Coturnix japonica: one gene and its partners. Each later gene encodes a partner of the first gene's protein in a complex. Links are inferred from orthologs where the notes say so. Each region holds a gene or a part of one and is shown on either strand. Other genes may lie near its edges.

Evidence for each region.
Region 2: the proteins of CDCA2 (region 1) and PPP1CA are in contact, whole or in part, in a crystal structure (PDB 5IOH), measured with the Homo sapiens proteins. The link is inferred for Coturnix japonica from reciprocal best matches to the Homo sapiens genes CDCA2 and PPP1CA. Residues at the interface, in NP_689775.2 of Homo sapiens: Lys391, Arg392, Val393, Thr394, Phe395, Gly396, Asp398, Leu399, Ser400, Pro401, Glu402, Val403, Phe404, Asp405, Glu406, Ser407, Leu408, Pro409, Ala410, Asn411, Leu414, Gly417, Gly418, Thr419, Pro420, Val421, Lys423; in NP_002699.1 of Homo sapiens: Gln20, Gly21, Ser22, Pro24, Tyr70, Asp71, Leu73, Arg74, Glu77, Tyr78, Asp166, Lys168, Ile169, Asp242, Leu243, Tyr255, Phe257, Arg261, Pro270, Ser284, Glu287, Thr288, Leu289, Met290, Cys291, Ser292, Phe293, Gln294, Ile295, Leu296.
Region 3: the proteins of CDCA2 (region 1) and PPP1CC are in contact, whole or in part, in a crystal structure (PDB 5INB), measured with the Homo sapiens proteins. The link is inferred for Coturnix japonica from reciprocal best matches to the Homo sapiens genes CDCA2 and PPP1CC. Residues at the interface, in NP_689775.2 of Homo sapiens: Lys391, Arg392, Val393, Thr394, Phe395, Gly396, Asp398, Leu399, Ser400, Pro401, Glu402, Val403, Phe404, Asp405, Glu406, Ser407, Leu408, Pro409, Ala410, Asn411, Pro413, Leu414, Gly417, Gly418, Thr419, Pro420, Val421, Cys422; in NP_002701.1 of Homo sapiens: Arg20, Gly21, Ser22, Pro24, Lys60, Tyr70, Asp71, Leu73, Arg74, Glu77, Tyr78, Asp166, Lys168, Ile169, Asp242, Leu243, Tyr255, Phe257, Arg261, Pro270, Asn271, Ser284, Asp286, Glu287, Thr288, Leu289, Met290, Cys291, Ser292, Phe293.

The regions. Positions count from the first base shown.
Region 1 is NC_029537.1:1,990,611-1,995,041, forward strand, and holds the start of CDCA2 (cell division cycle-associated protein 2), read right to left. Parts: upstream 2,916-4,431; 5' UTR 2,814-2,915; exon of another isoform or gene 2,785-2,813; intron 2,761-2,784; exon of another isoform or gene 2,606-2,760; intron 2,310-2,605; 5' UTR 2,130-2,309; coding exon 1,790-2,129; intron 1,562-1,789; coding exon 1,431-1,561; intron 1,073-1,430; coding exon 925-1,072; intron 814-924; coding exon 578-813; intron 275-577; coding exon 193-274; intron 1-192. Other genes in the region: BTB/POZ domain-containing protein KCTD9, read left to right, coding at 3,093-3,140, 3,726-3,847. UniProt on the Homo sapiens protein: Regulator of chromosome structure during mitosis required for condensin-depleted chromosomes to retain their compact architecture through anaphase.
Region 2 is NC_029520.1:169,915-174,135, forward strand, and holds PPP1CA (serine/threonine-protein phosphatase PP1-alpha catalytic subunit), read right to left. Parts: upstream 2,930-4,221; 5' UTR 2,780-2,929; coding exon 2,620-2,779; intron 2,227-2,619; coding exon 2,095-2,226; intron 2,015-2,094; coding exon 1,784-2,014; intron 1,390-1,783; coding exon 1,285-1,389; intron 1,212-1,284; coding exon 988-1,211; intron 817-987; coding exon 682-816; intron 600-681; coding exon 489-599; 3' UTR 301-488; downstream 1-300. Other genes in the region: cell cycle checkpoint control protein RAD9A, read left to right, coding at 1-45, 127-225; CARNS1 (carnosine synthase 1), read left to right, coding at 4,109-4,111. UniProt on the Homo sapiens protein: Protein phosphatase that associates with over 200 regulatory proteins to form highly specific holoenzymes which dephosphorylate hundreds of biological targets.
Region 3 is NC_029530.1:5,183,772-5,187,410, forward strand, and holds part of PPP1CC (serine/threonine-protein phosphatase PP1-gamma catalytic subunit), read right to left. Parts: intron 1,615-3,639; coding exon 1,483-1,614; intron 287-1,482; coding exon 56-286; intron 1-55. UniProt on the Homo sapiens protein: Protein phosphatase that associates with over 200 regulatory proteins to form highly specific holoenzymes which dephosphorylate hundreds of biological targets.

The DNA of each region.
Region 1 (4,431 bases):
TATTTTTGGTATTAAATATTCTCTGAAGCGTATTTTTTTCCCCATGGTAACTTTATTTTCCACTTCACACTGTATGTTACCACTTAAGAGCTATTTCAGTGGTGGCTAATCCATAATATCCTTTAGATCTCGCAAATCTCTTCAATTCATAGAACAACAGAAGAAAATAACACAACAAAATGGGAATCAAACCTGTTTGCAGTGCTTCACAGATGTGATCAGAGACTGTAAAAGATTCGCTTCCTCCTCCATGAAGAGCATTGTGTGAATATTCCTATCAAATGTGATAATAGCATCTATTAAGTACCATTCATTTAAGGACTGCCCTTTTTCAAATCGAAAGAGAAAATAACTTCCTCTGAAAGCAAAGTTTACAATCAGTGCAACTCTTTAACAAATCTATTTGTTGAGTAAAACTTGAAAGCATAAAAATGGATCTTCTCATAACAAGAAAGCTTCAAACCAACCATGACACAAACAGACAACCGCCGATAACCATCTTCAGTGCATACAAATAGTCTGAAAGCATCTTAAAATATGAATCAATTTCTACTGTGATGGAAGTTAACCAACCAACCTTCATGCAGTCCATCAGTTGCTTCACTGGTGTTTTCTTCAAGACAGATCTCAGCTGTGAGCCACTCTGTGTGGATTCACTTAATGAAGCACTCCTTGTTTGTAGTGGTGTGACAGGCAGCTCACTTTCATCATATATTCCCACAATTAGTTCTTCTGCAAAATTAACCTTTTTCCTGCTTTGATCTGATATGACATTACTTCTGACTTCTTTACTGATACAGTCAGGGCTGAAAACTTCAAGGCAAGAACATATGAAAATTAAAGACTGAAATGAAAACATTTTTAGTGGTGTTTCATATTTATTGGCTTAAGGGAAGACCTAATATTTAAACTCAATTAACTTACAAAAGCCACCTTCCTGAAAAGCAGTAGATGCTTGTGAGAGTCCAGAGAAGCCCGTCTTCCCTTCAGCTTCTTGAACTGACTTAAAAGTTCTTTGAAAGATATCCATTTTGCTCTTCAGTGACCTGGCAAACTGACAAGGACTGGCCTGCTAATAGAAAAATCAGTGTCAGATGCTTTTTCCAAGATGACCTGCAATTTTTTTTAGTTATCTATATCTTTGGCATAAAGTGCAGTGAATGCAGATAAAGGAATGCTATTATAAGTGTAAATAGACAAAAAAAGAGATTCTGGACTCTACAGAAACAAAACCAGCATTCAACTCTCTATTTAAAAACAAAAGCATCCAAGGAAAATCAAGAAAATTAAGGCCAAAGCTATTTCTTCTACTGACCCCTTCCCTTGGGTTTCTAGTCTCTTTCTGCCAGGAGGTGTTAAAATGGAAGACTTACATATTGATCCCTAAGGGAATTAAAATGATGCATTAGACACTTGAGAACAACCCTCACCTGTGTTAAAGCTTCTTTTTGCCTGTTGCTCTTCTGCTGGGCAAGGTATTGAATGAGGGTATTGTTTTCTGGAGACCCCCTTGCTCCAATGGCTGATCTTCGTCTGAGCTTTAGAGCAGCTGGAGACTTTGCTGAAATGGAGAGAGAAGGAAAAAAAAACAATGAAGATGTACAGCAGAACACTGGTTTAATGGGGTTTGGGTTTTTTCTTTAAAGAATGGTTTGCGTTATTTCTGGAAACAACCTCATATAGCTTTACAGCTCAGAAAACTGTCAGAAAATCAATTAATCAGCATGAGCAGAAAGACCTACAAGATCATCCAGTCCAACCCTTTCTGATCACTCCAGCCTTGCCTTACCTGTAGATCCATTAACAAAGCTTTCTGGAGTAATCCCAAAATCAGCAGTTGTTACAGTTGCAAAATCGACACTTTTTCTCCTCTGTTTCTCTGCTAATTCGCAATAGGATTTTTCTTCTGCTTTGAGCCTTGCAGGCGTTGAGTAGCACTCATCTCCCAAAGGCACGGATCTACCTGAAACATTCTCTTTGCTGCTCAGAGGCTGGGCAGCTTCACCAACCACAGCCCTTTTTGGAGTATCTAAGGGACATTCTGACCACTGATGGCTCTCAGCATCATGATACAATTCCTGCTCTTGGCCTTTGGTTCCATTGCTTACGTTCTCTTTCTCAGATGCCATTTCAGGCTCAGTCACTTTGCAAACCTTCCACTCTTCTAATGGGGATCTCTTCAGTCACTGCAAGATTTCTTCTCTCATTGCCTTCATCTTCCAGCACAGCATCTCTAACCTTTGATGACAACGTGTTTTAAGCCCGAAGAAGCACAAAGTTATTCACTTGCCTCCAATAACAACAGCTCCCTGTTAAAAAATGACAAGTTTTAAGTCATTTGATAAGGAAAACAGCCCTGTAATGATATGAAATGACTGCAGATCTAGAAAACCACTTGGGGAGGGGGGAAAGGGGAAGAATAGGGAAAGCCTTATGGTAAGAGAAGCACAGAAGCTTGGCTATGGGTAAGGAAACACAGGCTTATGCTTTTATTTTGTGGTAAATATATACATTTAGCGTTTAAATGCCCGTTTTAAACGCAATTGAGGTATGAATAGTATAAAGGGGAAGGGGAAAGGGGGGGGGGGTTCTTTAGGTCTCTCACATCTTTCGCATTACTGGGTTTCTCTCAGGTATTAAAGCTCAGGGAAACAGGCCACAGCAGCAGCTCACGAGAATACGCGTTAGGTTCCACGGACCGGGCTGTTTAAGGCAATAAGGGCCATACAAGGGCCATACAAGGGCCATACAAGGGCCATTACCACAGACCCCCCCCCCCCCCACCTCAGCCGCCATCCCCGCTCTCCCCTCACGTTCGAACCGCGGAGCCATCAATGACCGTTACGCGCCGCGCCGCCATTTTGAATTGCAACGGTCGCCGTCCACGTGACAGCGCGCACCAATCGCGAGCAGCGTTTGCTTTTAAGCACCCAACTCCTGTTTTTGATTGGCTGCTGGTACCTCTGCTTCCGCCCACTCGTTGTTTCCCCGCCCCTCCTGCGAGGCGCGTTTCTCATTGGCCAGCGGCTTGGCTGCGATTGGTTATAGCTCCTGTCGCTCAGAGAGCGCTGACTTCCGGGTTTGGTGGCAGTATGAGGCGGGTCACGCTGTTCGTTAACGGCAGTCCCCGGAACGGGAAGGTGAGGGGTGGGGGGGTTGAGGCCTGTGGGTCGGATTTGGGAACCTGAAAGTGAGTTTCTGAGGTTGTTCTATTTTCCTCTGCTTGCTTTGGGACTGGAGGGCTGCCTACTGTGGCCGTGATTGGGGTAGTGGGGTCTGAGGGGCCGGGTTGAGGCCTAGGCCTGTGTATGGGGCAGCACTGGGCCTAGGCCATATAGGACCCATAGACCCCCATACAGGCCCCCATAGACCCCATACAGGCCCCACAACCCCATATGGGCCCCATAGACCCCATACAGGCCCCACAACCCCATATGGGCCCCACAACCCCATATGGGCCCCATAGACCCCATACAGGCATAACTGCTCTTCAATGCAGTTCAGCTCCCATTTAGTGGTGCTGTGCTGATAGAAACATGCCCTGAGCACATTAGGGATGTGCTGAGGTCTTCCTGTGCTGTGCTTTCTGTTGGGTAGCTGATAAATAACCTTTTTTTCTGCTCAAAGCTGTGAAGCAATGTCTATAGCAAAAGCATATCAGGTTTTAAGGCCCAATGCTGCTCTGGGATGGTAGCAGCCCTAATGTGGTTTCCTTCTCTTTGCAGGTAGTGGCTGTATATGGCACGCTGTCAGATTTGCTGTCTGTGGCGAGTAATAAGCTGGGGATCAAAGCAACCAGTGTTTACAATGGGAAAGGTGGGCTCATCGATGATATTGCCTTGATTAGGTAAGGTTGATCCCATAAATGCCAAGTCGTGGATGGAGATTAATAGCTTGTTAATGCTCTTAATAAGGGCAGGACCATCTTTCCTGTGAGGAAAGGCTGAAGGAGTTTGGCTTGTCTAGCTTGGAGAAGACTCCAAGGAGACCTCATTGTAGCTTTTCAGTAATGGAAGGGAGTTTACAAGCAAGAGGAGGGACTGACTTTTTACATGTTGTAATAGGACAGAAGGAAATGGCTTTAAAATAAAAGATGAGATCTAGGTTGGATGTTGCTGGGTGGGGCCCTGGACAGCCTAATCTGATGGGGGGCAAGCAGCCCACAACAGGGGTACTGGGGATCTTTAAGGTCCCTTCCTAAGCCATTCTATGAATAACAAGTGATTACCATAAAACCAGAGATTATTTTTGAAAAGGAGACAAACTATGGTATGGTTTTGGCTTCATGTAACATAAAGCACCTCAGAGTGGGGAGAAAAGGAACTATTTCATAAAATTAAAGCTGCTGAATATCAGAAGTGATCCCTACCTGGCTGATACAAGTCTCTATTGGTAGCATTTCTAGTGCAGCTGGTAAAATTGCAGTCATCT
Region 2 (4,221 bases), on another chromosome or scaffold:
GAGGAGGAGGACAGGGCTGTGCCAGGGACACCCCCTCACAAGAAGGTGTGGGACAGGAACCAGAATGGGGGGAGGGAACAGGACAGGCACGGCCCCCTCACCCTGTGTCTTTTCACCCCCCCAAAGTTCCGCTCGTTGTTTTTTGGCTCCGTGCTGACACCGGGGGGGCCTGGCCCAGCCCCCAGCCAGGAGGTGCTGGCAGAGGACAGCGATGCCGAATGCTGAGAGCCCCCATTGCGATGCCATGGCGCAGCAGCTGGCACTGCCTGGCCACGTAGGGTGTGATCCTAAAGCCACATCTTAAGACCCATTACAAGTTTATTCCCCAAAAAAAGCCTCCTGCCCTGCCTTCACTGCCAACTGAGGGGCGGGTCCTGCCCCAGAGGGTACATTTGGTACAGTAGAAAGCGGCAAGGGCAGGATCTGACAAATAAAAAAACGAATGGAGAAAGGAGCGACCTGGTGCTGGGGCTGCTGGCGGTGGACACTCACTTCTTGGCTTTGGCAGAGTTGCGTGGTGGGGTGACGGGGCGGCCAGCAGGGTTCAGCCCACTGAACTGCCCGTACTTGCCCTTGTTCTTGTCTGCTGGTTTCAGAATCTGCAAGGAAGTGAAGGGTGAGTGAAGGGGCTGCAGGCAGAGCCCTGTGTGCTGCCCCCTCCCCGGCAAAGCCCCAGCTCACTTGGAAGGAGCACATGAGGGTCTCGTCCACACTCATCATGGCTCCTGCGTTGTCAAACTCCCCGCAGTAGTTGGGTGCAGAGAAGAGGGTGACAAGCTGGCGTTTGGCAAAGAACTCGTAGCCGTCCTCCACCACCTGTGGGGCAGCAGCACTCATATCTCCCTGTTCTCTGTCCATAGAGCCCACCAACTCCCCCAGGGGGCAGCATCCCCTTCAAAAGAGCCCAACCACATCCTCAAGAGCAAATGGCCCCTCCTGGGAAAAGCTCCACCGTTATGGAGCCCAGGTGAGGCCCGACCCCATTACCTGGTGTGCCCTGCAGATGAGATCGAGGTCATGCTTGTGCAGGAACTTGGCCACCACCTCGGCCCCAAAGGTGAAGGACACTCCTCTGTCATTTTCACCCCATCCTAAGACATCTTTGTCAGGGTCAGACCACAGGAGATCACACAGCAGGCCCTGGTCGGGTACGTCCGTGGGTCGCATGATGCGCCGGATCTGTTCCATCGACTGCAAGTCAGGAGACAGCCCTGCACAGGAGTGTCAGGTTATGCTGTGTGGCGGCCTTTGGACCCAGGCGGCAGCCCCCAGCCCTGTGCCCACCTCCGTGACAGCAGAATATCTTCTCATCCACAATTGCTGCAATTGGTAAACAGTTAAAACAATCGGTGAAGGTTTTCCACAGCTTGATGTTGTATCGCCGCTTGCCTGTGAGGCAGCGGGGTGGGTGCTCACAGGAGCCCTTCATGTGGGCCATGTTCCACCCTCCCCACCCTCTGGTGTATCACAACACACACAGGGCAGCACTGAACCCTCCAGGGGGCTGGGGGGGTGGCCGTGGAGGTGGCTGGGATGGGGGTATGAGGTCTGCAGGAGGAGGTAGCTGGGATGGGGCATAAGGTCTGCAGGAGGAGATGGCTGGGATGGGGGCATAAGGTCTGCAGGAGAAAGTAGCTGGGATGAACATAAGGTCTGCAGGAGATGGGAAGAGCTGCAAATGGGGATGGAAGGGGGGACTTTGGGCTGGCTGTATCATATGGGGTTGGCAGTGAGGTGACAAGGCAGTCCCGTTTGTCAGTAGTGGGGCCGGTGCAGCACTCACACTCATCATAGAAGCCGTAGATGCGGTTGATGCTGGCACATTCGTGGTTGCCACGCAGCAGGAAAAAGTTCTCCGGGTATTTAATTTTGTAGGCCAATAGAAGACAAATTGTTTCTAAAGACTGCTTTCCTCTGTCAACATAGTCACCAAGGAATAGGTAGTTGCTCTCTGGTGGAAAGCCTCCATATTCAAAGAGCCGAAGCAAGTCATAGTATTGTCCATGGATGTCGCCTGTAAGAAGATCGCGGGGGACACGCGGTGACGCTGGCTCCCAGCCCGCCCCCTTCCCCTCCCCCCGGCTCGTCGCTCACCGCAGATCTTGAGCGGAGCCTCGAGCTCCAGCAGGATGGGCTGGCTCAGGAATATCTCCCGTGACTTCAGGCACAGCCCCCGGATCTCGTTCTCTGTCAGCTGCACGTTCTTCCCAGGCCGTGAGCCTTGCACTGTGCGGGGGTGGCTTTCAGCAGAGCCCACTCCACCCCCGGAGCCCGCAGAGCCGCCGTGCCCTAACAGTCCCGCACTAACGCACGGCCCTCCCGGTGCCCCCGGCCCTCTGCAGCCACCCCCCATCCGCCCCGATCGCCCGCAGCCCCCCTCATTCCCACAGCCCCCAGCGGCTCCCACCGCCCGGCTCCCCCCGGCCCCCCGCTGCCCCGATACCCCCCGCTGCCCCACAGCCCCACAGTTGGACCCCCAGAGCCTCGCACGGCCCCCGTTTCCCCGCAGGCCCCGGCCCGCAGCCCCGTTCTCCAGCCCCTCCTTGGCGGCACAGCGCCGGTCCTTCCCTCCCCTAGCGGCTCCCGAGGCGGTCCGGGAGCACTAGGCCCATCGCTCACCCTCCAGGAGGCGGCCGATGATGGAGTCGAGGTTGAGCTTCTCGGTATCCGCCATGGCCGCCGGACGCTGCTTCCCCCCCCCGCCCTGGCCCGCCCCGGTCCCGGCCCCGCGGCCATAGAGAGCGGCCGGGGCGAGCGGCGGGTGGCGAGAGCGCCCCATGGCGGATGGGAGGCCGCGGAGGCGCGTGGGGGCTGCGCGCTCCCACGAGGCGGCGCCGTGTCGTTCCCCGTGCCGGCCGGTTGCCCGGCGGCTGTTGCCGTTGTCAGCCTCGCGGCGCGTGGGGAGCCCCGCGGGGACGTGTGCCGAGAGACACGGTGCTGCCACCGGCTCCACCCGCCTCACTTGTGCCCCTCGTGCCGCCGTGCCGCCCCCACGTGCAGTACGAGCCGCGCGGTGCCGGCACAGCCTGGCCCGTTGCCCGCGGTGACACCGGTGACATTTCAGCCCCGCGGTGTCAGCTGCGCCGCTGTCCCCGAACGACCCCGGCAACTGTCCCCGCTCCGCTGCCGGCTGCGTGTCCCGCTGCTCGTGTCCCGCCTCCCCGTGTCCCCCGATCCGTGCGGCCCCACGTCGCGGTGTGCTCACATCCCGTGTCTCCGTGCCCCGGCTCCTCCGATCTACCCGTCCCCACCCCGACGTTGCTCTGTCACCACGTCCCCCACTCTCAGATCCCCCTTTTCCCGTATCTTCCCTTATCTCCGTATCCTCCGATTTACCCGTCGCTACGTCCCCGTGCCTCGTATTCCCAAATCCCCGTGTCCCCGGATCCCCGTAACCCCACAGATCCTTCTCCCCGTGCTCCCTCGTTCCCCATCTCCATTTCCCCATACGCCCCAGATGTTCTCATGCCCTCGCATCCTTGTCTCCACGCCCCATAGTTCCCTCACACCCCACACCTGATACCCCGCACCCCTGAATCCTGGTGCCCGCACACCCCGCACACCCCCCATTCCCTCTCTCCCCCCCTTCCCCGCCCCGCCCCGCGCCCTCCCCCGGGGACGCCCTTCTGCCACCGAAGGCGCCTCCGCCGCCGGTGCAGAACGGGCACGGCTCCGCGGGCACCGCCGCCACGACCGCCCGAAAGCGACAGCGACCGCCGGTGGGTGCAGGCGGCGCCCGCTCCACGCGTGTCCGAGGGTGTTGGCGTGCGCCGTGCTGCGCGTGTCCGGCGGTGAAATCGCGGGCAGCCGTTGCGCTAAGCCGGGGGACGTGCGGGGCGGCACCGAGCGGCGCCGGGGACGGGCGGGTGGAAGCCGGGGACAATAGGGCTCTGTGCCGCTAAGCCCGGGCACGGGGCCGCCCCACTGCCAGCGGCCACGCGTGACTGCGGGGCACGGCTCTTCCCGGTGGGGCCGTGTGGCCGCACGCCTCAGTGTCCCTCCGGGAGCACGGTGGCACGGCGCGGTACCAGTGGGGCCGACGGTGCGGGCTGCGCCCTGCTCACCGCGACCCCTCTCCCGTCTCTCGCAGCCTCCCGACGCCCGCAACATGGTGAGTGGCGGCCCGGGGTCTGCGGGCGGGGGGCCCCTTCCCCTTTCCCGGCGGGGCTGGGTGGTGCCGGGTGTTCCGTGTGGCAGCGCCGTGCCCACCGCCTCCGCGTG
Region 3 (3,639 bases), on another chromosome or scaffold:
CCTCCTACCCTGCTTTCCCAAGCCAAAGGTCCTCCCATCTGACCATATTACTTACATTCATCATAAAATCCATAAATTCTATTAATGCTGGCACATTCATGGTTCCCTCTGAGGAGGAAAAAGTTCTCCGGGTATTTAATTTTGTAGGCCAATAGAAGACAAATTGTTTCTAAAGACTGCTTTCCTCTGTCAACATAGTCACCAAGGAATAGGTAGTTGCTCTCTGGTGGAAAGCCTCCATATTCAAAGAGCCGAAGCAAGTCATAGTATTGTCCATGGATGTCACCTGTAAAAAGCAGTCAGAAATGGCACGTAACTGACTTTGTCATATTTTACAATTATTTTCCCTAGAGAAACAGCACCAACAGGAAAAACCTGCAGACAGATACTGCCTGCAGCATTCCTGAAGATTACATAGTTTGTCTTCATGCTATCACACTCAAAGTTGATATCTACGTAAGACAATGACTAAGAACACATTATGACTCCAGTACGTATCTGCTTTAATATACTCATAGACTCATAAAACAAGTCCAACATCCCAAGAAATCAACTCTACATACTCAAACAAATCTGGCACCCAGTTAAATCCTTTTCTTGACTACAGGCTGCAAGATTAGAAACCCTGACTTCATTCTTGATACAGCCACACTTCAGTAGTGACACTGATGGAAAAACTGCCTGGGGAATTTCCTTTCCTCTATACCACGTCTGGTATTTTCCTGCAACAGCCAGTAACTCAAATTCCAGCAGGGAAGTCGTATCAGAAGAAATTGGTATTCCTGCCTTTGGTTTAAATCATGGTTTTGTTTCAGACAGCAGAACAATAAATCTGGTTTTAAGGCTACCACATACCATAAATATTGAACAAGCTACTTCAGAAGTAAATCCGCAGTGTTGGAGCAGGATAAAACACTGCTTCCTGGAACCTCTACTAACGTGCATTTATTAAAGATTTATTTTGACATCCTTCATCCCTTTAGCATAACTACACATGTGCATGTCTAAAAAGTGAGAACATCACCATACATAAATATGGTAAAACCAAACCAGAAACCACAGGTGATACAGAAATTTAAGCTTCCAGATTCTAAAACTGTGTCAAATCAGGGCTGAGATCTGGATGGCAGCTCCCATCAGCTACTGTGTCTTGTTTTCCTCCATGTTCAGTGACGACAGCACTGAGCAATAACTGATACAAAGGTTCCTTTCCAAAGCTTCTTCTGAATCCCTTTCCCAGGAGACTTGATCAAACAGGACCACTTTCTGGTTTGGGATTTCCTGCTTCCCCCTACAATTCCCATTTACCTCCTTCCCATTCCTCCACTCAAAGCATTCAGGACAGGCTTATTTTCCCTTTTACTGCAATCATTCATCAGTTTTGTAAGCAGAAGCAGCATCTGGCATTCATCCCCTGCTTAAAAGAGGATATCCATCTAAATGCCCCCCACTCCCAACCACGCATCAGATCACAGCACTTACCACATATTTTCAGTGGAGCTTCAAGTTCTAGCAGAATAGGCTGACTGAGAAAAATCTCTCTGGATTTCAAGCACAGTCCTCTGATTTCATTCTCCTGAAGCTGGACATTTTTACCTGGTTTTGATCCTCTCACTGTTGGAAGGAATCAGAAGTCGGTTACCCAAGCCAAGAGTGTTCCCAGCGTTACTTTAACAGTGCCTAAATGCCATTAACATCAAATGGGAATGCAACAACTGTTCTTTTACAATTAAATAATTCAATAATATCTTAAAATAATCTGTATTTACACTTTGCTGCTAAACTCAGCTGTTTGCTGCCTTATTCAAACTACTCTGAACTCTTAAAATAAGTTTTAAGTAATCCAGTGTAAATGCATATGGGAATGTCAGACATATGAACATGCTTGCCATCCCATAACCACTAGCCAGAAGTTAAGCTAACTACTGACAGATTAAAGCAGTCAGGCACAGATAAAGCTGAAAAGTAAACAGCTGGAGCCCCAGAATTCATAAAAAACAAAACCAAATCCATTTCCTTAGAGGAAGAAAATACTCAAGTCGCACAAGGTTTATGAAACACAGTTTTACTCTACTCATAAGTCAGGTTTCAGTTACAATTAACAGGAAGGCAGTACATTACCTGCACTTCATCCTCAGAAAATGCCTCCACAAAACAAGACTTGTCAAAACCTAATGACCTGGCACACCCTTAATGACTGTTTTGCAATTTAAATGGACCAGTGAGACAAACATAATTGTGTTCCTGAAACCTGCCTCAATGTTACAGAGCATACTGCAGAAATTAGAAGTATTAAACAGCTTATTTCAATATTTCAAGATATATTTTACCTTTTTACCACTCTTATTTCACCCTCCCCTGGAGGCTCCAGTCCCTCAGGAGCACCAGAGCCACAGGAACAGCTGAATGCATTGAAAACCTGACAACTGGAAGGAGAGCTGGGAACCCTTCACACAGAATTTCCACTCCATATGGATTGGGACTGTGAATACATTTATTTCAGAAGGTTCCTGTAAATCCCATCCTCAGGCTTTCCCACTTCTTGGTTGTGCCAAAGAGGAGGAACGACATGAGAAAATGTGCAGAGCTAAAAAAGGGCCGAGGACCAGAATAATTTCTTAAATGCATTAAAATCAAAGCCACCAAACTGCTGAATTCTACAGCAAAGCTAAGAGGGAGCTATTAGCATCATTAATGCTTTGAAGAGTCTCTACCATGGAGAGAAATTGAGTGCCTCAAACCTACAAAGGATTTAATCAAGAGGGAAACAGCTCATGTATTTCAGATTCTAGTTCGTTGGCCATTTAAGCTGAGCTATTTCATTACTCACTTGGAGCCCAGACAAACTCACCTGTACTAAAGCAAGCACTGCATTTTCTGTGCTCTCTCCCCTGCCTCACCTATTACCAGTCCCTTTGAACACAGTGAAAGGCAACCTGGAAATTCAGCTCCCAGCTCAGCTGTTTTTTCAGTCCTTCGCTCTTTTCACTCCTCCAGTGCAACACCTCACAGTGTTTGGTTCCCTTTATCACCTGTCAATGCTCAGACACAGAACAAGGACACCAGCTTGGACTGAACAAGTTCCTGCAGCTAACAGAAGAGTTTTCCCCTCATTTATCTGATCCACCCCTCAGTTGCAGACACCATTTTCTGCTACCCAGATATACAAAGATATCGTTATATCCATTCATAAAAGCAACCATCTCTGGGCCCAGTCTCTGCTAGCACTTGGTGTCAGCACCAGAACAGCTCTGCCCTGCACACCAGCTCCTGTCAGTGCCCCTGGTCATGCTCACACTGCCTGCACTGCAGAATCACTGATAACACTGGAAAGCACACAATGTTTTCCTCAAACAAGCTTCAGAATCGAGCTTCAGTCCAAATTACAACACGTAGCGATAGCAGCATTCAGTTAAGTGCAGGTCAAAAGTCACTGCTTTAATAGCGCTATCTTTCAAGCAATACATGCTCTTCTATTACCCGCTGTCTATGTATTACTGCTCACCACTGGCACCGACTCACACGGTGACACTGAAATTACCACTAAACTTCAAGTATTCCATTAAAATATTACAAGTAATGAAGCATACAAATGGAAGTTAAACCTCAGTCGCAGCACTTCATCACACACGATGCTTC